Linked DNA regions of Canis lupus familiaris. The protein of the gene in region 1 purifies or fractionates together with the protein of each later gene. This does not show direct contact. Links are inferred from orthologs where the notes say so. Each region holds a gene or a part of one and is shown on either strand. Other genes may lie near its edges.

Region 1 (3,637 bases):
TCATTTTTATTTATTTATTTTTTTTACTTCTCTTTGTTTTTAGTTTCAGAAGCCACTAATGATTCGACAATAGATGATGTGGTTGAAAATCATGTTGCAGACCAACTTTCATCAGATATTACACCAAATGCTATGGATACTGAATTTTCAACTTCTCCAGCCAATTTACTGGAACGACCAACCAATCATACAGAGGCTCTTGGTCATGACCATTTAGGAGCTAATGACCTCACTGTTGGTGGATTTTTAGAAAATCATGAGGAACCAAGAGATAAAGAACAGTGTCCTGAAGAGAGTCTACCAGCATCTTCACTGAACAAAGGAAAGAAATTGATGCATTGCAGAAGCCATGAGGAGGTCAACACTGAACTAAAAGCACAAATAATGAAAGAGATCCGAAAGCCAGGAAGAAGTATGTATAATTAGAGGCAAACCTCATATTTGATTTCTGTGTGTGCTCAAAGAAGAGAGATTAATCAAAAACATAGACCTGATTCTAGATGAGTGCTCAACAACGTAGGAGCTGTATGATTAGGTTCTTTATTCATCCTACAAACACTAAATATCTGCTATGTCCCCAGTATTGTGGTGTAGGGGGGGTGAGCAGGAAGTGCTGAGAGCGGAGCTTAGAGAACACACAGGTCGGCAGCACAGAGTTCCTACCGGGGCAGGAACCTGGTGTCCTTCGTATTTTCTACACAGCAGCTGCAGTGGGATGGAGCAGCAAACCCAGCAAGATGGAGCGAATGTTAGATGACTTCATGTCTATAAAGTTCCTGGCCTAGCGTCCCCACTGTGTTTAGGGTTTAAACTATGATGGTGACCAGGAGGAGTATGTTTAGGCCCCAAAATGGAAGTTACAGAAACTATATATTTCACGAATACAAAAGGAGTTTGTGAGATACAATTTCAGTATTATTGGCACTCATTCAAGAGATGTTGGCAGATCCCCTGTCTGATGGTACAGTGACCCACGATGGTTCAGAAGTGGGCAGGTCAGCCCTTGCCACTTAGAGCTTATAGTCCTTGGCAGAGTTTTAGGTGAAAACCTGAAACTGAAATAGCACTTTCCTCGTTTCTCACCCTGCTCTTTGCCCCTCCCTACCATGGGAACTGTAGTTTAGAGATTAAATTATAAGGATGGAGGTGCCTTGCTGCTGCTTTTTCAGTGGCACTATCAGAAAGCTATTCACTGATTTTTCTCAGTTTTGGGTTTGTTTCTTTATGGGAATTTTTACCAAAAATTCAGTTTAACAAGTTATTTTATCTTTGCTGATATGTGAAATGTGCGTATTATAAAGTTTTTAATGAGTGGTGAAAATTTTACGTAGAATATCTTGGTTTTGTGTACTACATCTTGATATAGTAAACTGCAATAGAAAAATAATAAGAGTGTGTAGAAAAGCCACTTAACTTTTTCTTTTTGCTTCTCTTGTTTTAAGAATATGAAAGGATCTTCACGTTACTGAAGCATGTGCAAGGCAGTTTACAAACAAGACTAATATTTTTACAAAATGTCATTAAAGAAGCATCAAGGTAAAGAATCTATTACACATTTTGAAATGATTATGAAATGAGTCCCCAGCTCACAGTCAGGTTTTTAACAGTACTTATTTTGAACCTGTGATAGTATGCATGTGTATGACACACTCATGTGTATATAAGTTTCTCTTTTTCTTTTTTTTTTTTCTTTTTTTAGTTTATTGAAAGAAGTCCACTTAAAAAATAGCCATGCACAAATTTTTCGCCAACTATGGACCTTTTCTACCTACAGATTACAGATACTTGCATAATTCTCATTTATCCTACTCTGTGGCTTTTGGGGGGGGGTCTTTATACTTTTTAACCTTTAATTTTTTTCCTTTGCATATTTGGGCTATAGTTAATATTAACCAGTGATTAGCAACAACCTCGAAAGACAATATTTGTACGTGGGAAAACATGTAATTAAGGGGAGCAGAGTTGGACAAATGGGCCTTATTCTGATTGCTTCAGTAGCTCAGGATTATGTACTTTAATACAAGGAATGTGGATCAAGATTATAAATGGTAACTATGAAGTGCAGTTAACTGGAAAGCATAGTTGTAGTCGTTTAGGGAGTATAAAAAACACTTTTCTTTCACGATTTCTTTAGTATTCTTTTTTTTTTTTTTTTTAATTTTTTTAAAATTTTTATTTATTTATGATAGTCACAGAGAGAGAGAGGCAGAGACACAGGCAGAGGGAGAAGCAGGCTCCATGCACCGGGAGCCCGACGTGGGATTCGATCCCGGGTCTCCAGGATCGCGCCCTGGGCCAAAGGCAGGCGCCAAACCGCTGCGCCACCCAGGGATCCCTTTCTTTAGTATTCTAAGAAAACTTAGTGTTCATCTTATCTGACCTTCTGAATATACCCACCCTTTAATAATCCCCTAGTTTCGTCCATGCTACACATAAAGGTATTTTTAGTTGGACCAGTTAATTTTTTTTTTTTTTTTGAGTGGCTAGAGCATATGCCACTTTGAAGGTTCAAGATCAGACCATAACTTTTCATGTTGTTTTGAGTATTTCATCTGTTGTTTTCTTTATGTGACATTCTAGCAACTTAGACTTCATGGATTTAGCTGTATTCCTGGTGCCTGCCCTCCATTTTTGCCACCTTGTAGAGAGATGTGGAATATTAGGGTGGCTCTTTATACTAATTTACAAGTAGAGAGGAAGAAGGTATAGATTGGACAGTGTTTTGATATTCTCATATTCTAAAAAGCATTAGCAGTGTTAATACTTCTGTAGACAAATGCAATTTTAAGCTACTATATTAGTGGAAAAAAGTTAAATTACCACTTGAACTGTTGGCTATATCCTATACTACAGATGTCTAATAATCCTTGATTTGCTAACTTTCAAATTGTAATAGTAGAACCCAAGGGTTTTTGTTTTTTTGTTTGTTTTTTTTTTTCAAGATTTTATGTATTTGAGAGAGAGAGAGAAAGTGAGCGAGTACAAGCAGGGGGAGAGACAGGCAGAGGCAGAGAGAGAAGCAGGGAGCCTGATGTGGGACTTGATCCCAGGACCCTGGGATCACAACCTGAGCCAAAGGCAGACGCCCGACCTATGGAGCCACCCAGGCTTCCCTAACCCAAGGGTTTTTTAATGCTGCCATCCAACTGTTCGTTTCTTCTTCTGTCTTGGGATTATATTCATACTTTTTTCACATTCAACATTCAACTTTTAAAGAGCATAGGAAGCTATTGGAGTCATTGCTTTGGAAGTCTAAATTTTGTTAGAATATATGTAACCCTTGTAAATGGTAGGGTTTCTTGTTTTTCTTTTCGGATGTGAAACAAATAACCTGCTTCCATTTACCTGGGCCTGGGTTATTTGTTTTAGGAACAAACTGTAATTCTGCACTGATAAAATAATTTGCTTATCTGCCAATGGATTTTATATATCATAAAGTTGTGTTTTTTCATTTTTATTTTCCTTTGAAAAATCTTCCCAAGGCAGTTTCTATCTTTAAAACGACAAAACAAAACACGAACACTCTGATCTACATCCATTAAAAAGAAATTGAGAGTGCTATTACTTATTTTTTTTATACAGGTTTAAAAAACGAATGCTAATAGAACAACTGGAGAACTTCTTGGATGAAATTCAT
Region 2 (4,242 bases), on another chromosome or scaffold:
GATGCCCATGGTGAGGGCCTGTTCTTCACAGAGACTGCCTAGAATCAAGCTGATGATTGAGCCTGTTTCTGATGCAGAGGTATTTTTCATGGGGAACAAAGGACTAGCTAAGGACAAAGCACAAGCCCTGGGAAGTACATTGACAAGTCCTTGAAACAGGGGGAGTGATGTTCCTCTACAGACTCAACTGCCTTGGTGTTCATACTTTGCTAAGGGCAAAAGGCAAGATTAGCCAGACACCCAGGATCCTGTAAGTCTACTTTAACATATAAAAATTCCTTTAGAAATTCCCTTTATCTCTAAACCCCCAAGATACATATTGGCAATCATCCCACAAGCACGTGGCTCACCAATATACATTTGAAGGGTCTCATGACTCAGGTTTTATTAGACGGTAATAAGTGACCTTTTCTCAACAATAGCTAGCCCCCTCAAGGTCCTGGAAACCTTGCTTCCAAAATTCCTTAGAGTATGCTATCCTCAAACCCCTCCCAACCCCCAGGTATATAATCAGCCACCCCTCACAGGCCTAGGGCAGCAGCTCTTCCTGTCCACGGGTCCTGTCCCCGTGCTTTACTAAAACCACCATTTTGCACTAAAGACGTTTCAAGAATTCTTGGTGGTCGGTTCTAGACCTCACCTATAATTCCAAAACTTCATCAGTGGTAGTGGTAGTCGTATGTGGTTCTGAGGGCTGGACGGCAGTGAACGGGAGACATTTATGCAGAGATCTGCTCTCCAAGGAAAGGGATGTTTTGGACAAATGCTGTTTGACGTGAAAAAGCATGATGTACTGCGAGGGCTCTAATTTTTCAGGGCCACTGAAGTGTAAAACGAGAAGTGGAAGATGCGCCTAAGTACGGTTTAGGAACCAGATTCACAAGGGCCTTGACTATCAGCCTGAAGGGCTTGAGTTTCATCGAGAGAGTAAGGCAAGTCACCAACCTTCGGGGGGCCTCCGCATAATAAGGCAAAAACCTAAGGCTCATTCCCATCTCCTCCCTCACAGAGTTGCCGGCAGTACGTCCACCAGGAACCAGGACCACTGCCTCACAAGCCAAAACTTGCAGACTGTCCGGGTCCTCACATGACGTCACGCACTCCAAGCGACGCATGCACAGAAGCTTTGTGCTGGACCGGCCAGAGGGCAGTCTTTGCTTCCTCTGAATCCCTCCATTTATTGGTTAGGTACAACTGCTCGTCTCCCTCGTCGTTAGCGGCGACGTAGGCGGGTACAATCTTGGTCGCTAAGATACCGCGTACTTCCGTTTCCTTCCCCTCTCTGCTATACTGAGACCGCCGACTTCGTCCCTTCAACCAATGGCAAATGGGCAGTGGGCGGGGCTTCACTTATCCGGACCAACGAAATGCGGGCGTCGCGCGGCCAATGACCGTGGGGCAGCCCCTGTAAAGTGGCTCAGGCGACCCCACGCTCGTCTTCCGTCCTCTGCCCAGCCCTACCCTTCCTGCCCCGGTTTCAGCACGGCGCCGGCTGCAGTCTGACAGGAACGGGACGGAACCAAGATGGCGGCCGCCGACGGCGACGATTCGCTCTACCCCATCGCAGTGTTGATAGACGAGCTTCGCAACGAGGATGTTCAGGTCCGGAGGCTACGGGGGTCTTGGGGAATTACAGGAAGAGGTAATGGGGGCACGGACGGCCCTCGCGGAGAAGGCTCAGTGTTCGCTAGGAGTGGCGGAAGGGGGAGGCGGCCAATCAGCGTCCGGCTTTCACGTTTCCATGTCCCTGGACTGGATGAGAGGGCGCCCGGGATTGGGTGTTGGCCCACTGGAGGGCGGGAGGCAGGCCAGCCTGGAGGCGCCCGGGCCTGCCAAGTGCGCGCGGCGGCCCGGGTCCTGGGAAGCTGCGACTGGGGAGGGGGTCAGGCCACTGGGTGGGGCGGAGGGAAGGGCTCGGTGATTGGCGGCGGCCCCAGAATGGCCTCTTGGGGATGGGGCGCGCGGCCTATTCCGAGTGGGGGAGGGGCCCCCGGTGTGTGGGGGCTCGGGTACGTTTTCTCCTTACTGTGTTCTGGCGGCTGGGCCTCAGCGCCTTGGGGTAAACTCTCGGAATGGGGCTTGAGCGGTGACGGCTGCCCTTCCAATTCCTGCTCTCCCTCCCTTTTCAGTTTTGGTGTAGAATCCACGAGGGGAGGTGCGGCGAGAACACCCCATTCCCACGAGAGCAACTGGCCAAATTTAAGCACGGATTTCGAGATAGAGATTCTCCCGCCTTCTGGGGCCCTGCCGGGCTGCGGTGGGCAGTTGACTAAACAGCCTAGCACATTTCTGGTGAAGGGCTGAGAAGACTGAGGACTCCACGGTTTGCCCACCCCGGCCCTACCTCCCACCCGCCGTGTGACCTTGTGCAAATTACTTCATCGCTCTGGGCCTGTTTTCTCTGCAATGTAGGCTAATAATAGTTCCGGCCTCCCTGGGTGGTTGTGATGGCCTGGACGAGTTAATACTGCAAGTAAAATAGAACGGTGCCTAATTGTTATAAGGGTCCAATAAATGTTAGCTGCAATTATTGGGAGTAGTAATGGAAGAGGTCCCATTCCTTTATAGGAGCTTCCATTTTTCTGTTTATGAAATTGAGCGGATTGCATTAGGCCCAGCCTCTGAAGTTCGAGGTAGATCACTGATTCTGGAGTCAGACAGGCTGCTGCTGTACTTCTTGCTAATTGACATGGGCAAGTTTGTTAATCCTCTTGGCCCTGGCTTTCCTCTTCTCTCAGATGGAGGTAATTATCTGGTTCATAGGGCTCTTGTATGAATTCATTTGTTCAATAAACACCTGCCCCATGTCAGTTATGGTGATAATGGTGACACCAGTTGTTATACAAGAGGCAGATGTGAAACAGCTGAATAGATTATTAACAGTTGTGAGATGTGGGAAGGAAACAGGGTATTGTGATGGTGAATCAGTATTTATTGGGCCTCAGCTCTAGGTAGTGCATTGTTTTAGGCACATGTATACAAAAAGGAACAAGGTGGACAAGAACTCCTGGACTCCTACAACTTTTATGTTGCCTGTGGAGAAACAGACAATAAGACAATTAAGTTAAAATGTATACCATGTAAGATGGCAATAAATGCTTTGGAGAAAAATGAAGCAGGGATGGAGAGGACGGGAGAATGTTACACAAGTTTAGAATGACTAGGCAAGGCCTTATTGAGAAGGGGACATTTTAGCAGAAATGTGAATGAGAAGCAGGCCTCATAGATATCTGGGGGAATAGCATTCCAGGTAAAGGAAGCAAGCGCAAAAGTCCTGCAGCAGGAATATGTAATGCATGCTCTGAGAACTGCAGGAAACCAGTGTGACAGGAGCCAAAGGAATGAGCTGTTGGGTGTCAGGAGATGAAGATAAAAGGGACTATGACTCAGAGGGAACTTGTGAGCAGTCACTTAAACTAGGTGTTGCCAGATCATTGAGCACAGTGGTTAAGAAAGTTTTTGAGATGTTTTATGGTACAGCTTAACAAGTTTAAGTAGCATGAGGACCTGTGGATAGAAAGAGCTGTACTTCTGTATGAAGCCAGTGGTTATATGCATGGTGCTCAAGGGGCAAGGGATGTGGAGGGAGTATTAGATCATAAATGTTTTCGAATTTCTAATTGTAAAACTAATTTCACAAGATTTCTCTGGTATTAACTATTGGTGAGATATAGAGGCACTCTTTAAGAATGTAGCAAACAGGTTTTTTGTCCTTATTGAAACTATGCAGCTCTAGGTCAGCCTTCTGGGCTAAAAATGAACATATTTCTGCTTCTATCCCTCATCACAGGGATTGGCAAATGGCAAAGGGTGGCCCTTTGCCTTTTTATTTTTTTAATAGAGTGTTATTGAAAACACAGACTCTTCCATTTACATATTATCCATGGCTGCTCTGTGAAACAATAGGGTAGAATTGAGTAGTTGCAACAGAGACAAGTTTTGGCCCCTTAACGCCTAAAATATTTACCACCTAGTTCTTTACAGGAAAGAGGATGCCAACCTTTTTTTTTTTTTTTTTTAAGATTTTATTTATTTATTCATGAGAGACAGAGAGAGAGAGAGAGAGGCAGAGACACAGGCAGAGAGAGAAGCAGGCTCCATGCAGGGAGCCTGATGTGGGACTCAATCCCAGGACTCTAGGATCACGCCCTGGGCCAAAGGCGGCGCTAAACTGCTGAGACACCCAGGGATCCTGAAAAATAGATAATTAAACAAAATACGAAAACTCGACTTGAACCACCT
Region 3 (4,233 bases), on another chromosome or scaffold:
CTATACACTAGCTGGGTCTCCCTTTGCAAGTCTGGTTAACTCCTTTGTCATAGTGTTCTTGGGCTGTTATAACAAGATACCAGAGATGGGGCAACTTAACGTGTTTCTCACAGTCCTGGAGGCTGGGAAGTCCAGGATCAAGGTGCCAGCCAGATCAGTTCCTGGCGAAGTCTAACTTGCCACCTTTTCTCTGTGTTTGAATAGGGCAGAGAGAGAGAACTACAATGTCTCCTCCTGTTCTTACAAGGGCACTATTCCTACCCTCCTGGCCTCCCAAAGACTCCCATCTCCAAATACCACACCGGGTGCTAGGCTTCAGCATTTGAGAGGGACACAATTTAGTTCAGAGCTTCTATCTGCGGCATTATGTCCAACCTAAGTTGACTGAGTATTGATGGGAGGGGGCGGGGGGGAGTCACCAGCTAATAGGTGTTTCCAATCTTGGCCTTACACCAGCCCTTCTCTGTACCTATTTAATTCTTTGTATCATGACTCCCTGTCAAGTCCCCTACAGTAGCTATTTCAAATTTTATTCCATTCTTTATCCTTCATAGCATCCTTCCTGCCCTCAGCAGACAACCTTAATCCTTAATTTCCTGAGATGACACAGGCTATGAAGCACAACCCCCTTCAGTACCCTTTCTGTCTGTCTCAGGAAGAGTCACCTCCAGCTAAGGCAAATTCTTTATCTCCTCTCTTACTCTTCAGCCCCTTAAATGGAGCTCCTGCTAAGTTCTATTTTCAGAACCTCTTCTGTGTTATGAGTGGCTGCCCATTCAAACCTTTCTCCAGGCCGTTGTGGGGTGGAGCGTTGGTAATGTCTTAAGCATCCACCCTCTGAGGGGCACTGTGCCAGGCATGCAGAGTCGCGGCGTGGAGATGACTGCCACCCACCCGCCATAACTAGGCAAGCTGCGAATGATGCGTTGAGATAAAAAGCAGCATATCTTCTGCAGTTTCAGAAGAGTATGAGCCAGACTTTGACGAAGTTACACTTCATGTTCTTCCATAAATGTGCAGATTTACTTCATTCCCTTAAAGGCACCCTAGTATCCCTATGGTCGTGTATTCAACGTGGTCTCTGTCAACAGACAATTCGTTTTGTTATCTTTGGCCGTTATGAACAGCGCTGCAGGGAGCGCCCCCGAACCTGTCTTCGCTTACGACTGCGGGCATTTTCGCAGTATGAATTCCTAGAAGTGTTACTGTTGAGTGGAGGGCGTGCGCACGTTCTGCCAATTCCCGCCCGCGCCTGGCTGGCCCCGGTGCGCTTACGGCCGGTGGGGAGTGTAGAACGTGCGGCCCAGAGCCGCGGCGGCCTCCGGGCGACAGGCGGCGCTGTAAGCGCGAGGCGGCGGCGGTGGCGGCGCGGGCCGCGCTGGTCCACTTCCGGCGGCGCGGGCCGCGCTGGCCCACTTCCGGCGGCGGCGGCGGCGGCGGCGGCGCCGACGCCGAGTCCCAGCGGGCGGCGGGCCGGGGGGCGCCATGCCGTATGCCAACCAGCCCACCGTGCGGATCACCGAGCTTACCGACGAGAATGTCAAGTTCATCATCGAGAACACGGACCTGGCGTAAGGCCCCGAGGGAGGAGGCGGGCGGCTGCGGAGCGCGGGGGGCTGGAGCCCGGGCCGGGCCGCAGAGCGGGGCGTCCGCCTTGGCAGGGGTGGGCGCGGGGTGTCGGCGTCGAGGCTGCGGCGCGCTCACGCCGCTTTGTTTGCATCCCTCAGGGTGGCCAACTCCATCCGGAGGGTCTTCATCGCCGAGGTGCCCATAATAGGTAAGCGAAAGCCGCCTGTCGTGGCCAGCCCCCTCCGCACACCTCGGGCCCTGCCCCCAGCCCTTGGTTGGGGCGGCGCGGCGGTGGCTCTGAGAACACAGCAGTGCTGGGCGTTCGCTCGGACCCTGTACCCTTGGCCCGGGGCCGCTAGGGTCCTCTCCTAACGTACGGATCGGCGCAGAGTGGACGGCAGTCTGCGTACTCGGGTGTGAATCCGTCCCGTCTGCTGCACGTAGGGAACGTAGAAGCGCCAGGCAGTGTGCTAGGAACTGGGGACCCAGAGCTGCATAGCGCGGGGTTCTTGCCCTTGTGGAGCGCACGGTGAAGTTGCAGGGCAGAGGCGAATCCACAGATGACACGACTGTGGGGCAGATGTGCATCAGCAAGCAGTTCAGGAGAAGTATGACTGCAGCGCTTGCGGTGTTTGGAGGAACGAAGATCTGCTTTAGTTCCAGCAACCCTACCTCGGGTGTTCTTTATGTGTATAAACATTACAAGTATTTTCTGAATGTTGACTCAAACTTTGGGTTGGAAAACGAAGTGTAACTTCTGGCTGCTGCACTCCCTAAGGAAATGAGCAGGCCCATTGATTGGCAAATGAAAGAACATCACAGTCTGCACTACCGTCATCCCCAGTCACTTCTTCAGCTTGGAGCTTGGAGTGCTGGTTCTCCCCCGTCCCTAGTCATTCCAAGTCTCTGGGTCTCAATTTTATCATGAGTAAAATAAGAAAGTTGTGCTTTATGATGCAGCCCTGATGTTACAAGTCTAAACGGCACTCTTCCCACAGATTCAGTTCTGCAAGTAATACTGAGCACCTGTTACATTGCAGGCCACACTGGGAAAGCCAAAGGCGTTTGAAGACCACCCTCTCTGATTTTTCAAAGCTCTGCAGTAGAGACAAGACATACACAAATACAGCACAAGGCAAAAATATGACAAATGTCTTTAGTCTGGTCAGAGTTTTGTGAGGGAGTATTAGTGTCTGTTTCGTGGAGGTCAGGCAACGCTTGGTTTATAGGAGGCTCAGAGGATCGTAACTTCCCCAAGGGAGGGTAAGGTCATGTGGGGTTGGAGGGAGTAGGAAGACAGAAAAGCTTGGCTCATGGGTCTTATCTGACTTGGGTTGGGGAAGCATTAGCGTAGGACAAAGCAGATTGGGTCCTAAATGTCTAGTCCTCTTCTGACTCCCATTCCCAGTGTCCACACCCTTTATTTGGTAGTTGGCCACTTATGAATTTGCGTATAGGTATTTTATTTATAAATGAATATGTTTTTAAGTCAAGTGTGTGTGTGGGAATACAGTCCTTACCTTTATTAGCTCGTTGCTGGTAGGAATTGAATTTGATACTTACTATGCTGTGCCCGCTGAATTCTTTAAACGTTAGTTGGTTGATAAAAAGACTTAAATTGGGTAATCTGGTCATTGCATCATAAAATGAGATATGGACCATAAGTCTGTTTTTTGTGAGATTTTCTCTATTTTAAGTGCCCATGTAGTTTGTGTTTGATTTGGTGTTGATGTGCATAGCAGACAACATGCTTCCTACAGAAATATTCAGCTCAAGGAAACATGTTCCCAATCCCATGATTAGTATCCCTTAGTATTCTCTAAGTCAGTATTTTGAGTGGGACAGCACACCTCCCCCCCCTACCCTCACCCTGCACTAAATCTGAGTAGGGAAGGGAGCTGTGTTGCATGTGGATCTTGTTAAAATGCAGATCCCTTGTCCCCACTCAAGCTGCAGAATCAGCCTCTGGCTGCCTGGCCCAGGCCTCTGTAATTTAGTAAACATCAGGTGATTTTTTAAATCAGGAGAATAACTGCTGTAAGTCTTTAAATTTGGTGGCTAAACTGCATGTTTGCTTGCCTTATTTTTTAGCCATTGACTGGGTCCAAATTGATGCCAATTCCTCAGTCCTTCATGATGAGTTCATCGCTCACAGACTTGGTGAGTGCTGGGTGTTGAAAGGTGAGAGGGAGGGGGCTGTGCCTGACGTCAGAGGAGGAAGCCTCACTCCCATAAGGATTTCTAGGTTCTCCTTTAGGCTTGGCCATTGCCATTTGGACTTTTTTTTTCTTTTTCTTTTTCTCTTTAATAAAGATTTTATTTACTCATGAGAGACCCAGAGAGAGAGAGAGAGAGGCAGGTACACACACAGGCAGAGGGAGAAGCAGGCTGCATGCAGGGAGCCTGACATGGGACTCAATCCAGGGTCTCCAGGATCACACCCTGGGCTAAAGACGGCGCTAAACTGCTCAGCCACCCAGGCTGCCCGATTTGGACTCTTTAAAGTGCATTTCTGTTTCTTCCAGGACTAATCCCCCTGACTAGTGATGACATTGTGGACAAGCTGCAGTATTCCCGGGTATGTTGTGTGATTGGGTGGAAGGGGCAGGAAGGAAGCAGCCCTCAGAGGCATTTTCCTGACCTCTTACTTCCAGCTGGAGATCA

Evidence for each region.
Region 2: the proteins of INTS6 (region 1) and PPP2R1A purify together in Homo sapiens (affinity purification with mass spectrometry; 4 studies listed by BioGRID and IntAct, with this or other methods). This does not show direct contact. The link is inferred for Canis lupus familiaris from reciprocal best matches to the Homo sapiens genes INTS6 and PPP2R1A.
Region 3: the proteins of INTS6 (region 1) and POLR2C purify together in Homo sapiens (affinity purification with mass spectrometry; 3 studies listed by BioGRID and IntAct, with this or other methods). This does not show direct contact. The link is inferred for Canis lupus familiaris from reciprocal best matches to the Homo sapiens genes INTS6 and POLR2C.

The regions. Positions count from the first base shown.
Region 1 is NC_049243.1:602,030-605,666, forward strand, and holds part of INTS6 (integrator complex subunit 6), read left to right. Parts: intron 1-43; coding exon 44-412; intron 413-1,442; coding exon 1,443-1,536; intron 1,537-3,582; coding exon 3,583-3,637. UniProt on the Homo sapiens protein: Component of the integrator complex, a multiprotein complex that terminates RNA polymerase II (Pol II) transcription in the promoter-proximal region of genes.
Region 2 is NC_049222.1:105,634,070-105,638,311, reverse strand, and holds the start of PPP2R1A (serine/threonine-protein phosphatase 2A 65 kDa regulatory subunit A alpha isoform), read left to right. Parts: upstream 1-1,419; 5' UTR 1,420-1,524; coding exon 1,525-1,602; intron 1,603-1,939; exon of another isoform or gene 1,940-4,242. UniProt on the Homo sapiens protein: The PR65 subunit of protein phosphatase 2A serves as a scaffolding molecule to coordinate the assembly of the catalytic subunit and a variable regulatory B subunit.
Region 3 is NC_049223.1:58,230,587-58,234,819, reverse strand, and holds the start of POLR2C (DNA-directed RNA polymerase II subunit RPB3), read left to right. Parts: upstream 1-1,416; 5' UTR 1,417-1,485; coding exon 1,486-1,571; intron 1,572-1,727; coding exon 1,728-1,777; intron 1,778-3,660; coding exon 3,661-3,729; intron 3,730-4,094; coding exon 4,095-4,147; intron 4,148-4,233. UniProt on the Homo sapiens protein: Core component of RNA polymerase II (Pol II), a DNA-dependent RNA polymerase which synthesizes mRNA precursors and many functional non-coding RNAs using the four ribonucleoside triphosphates as substrates.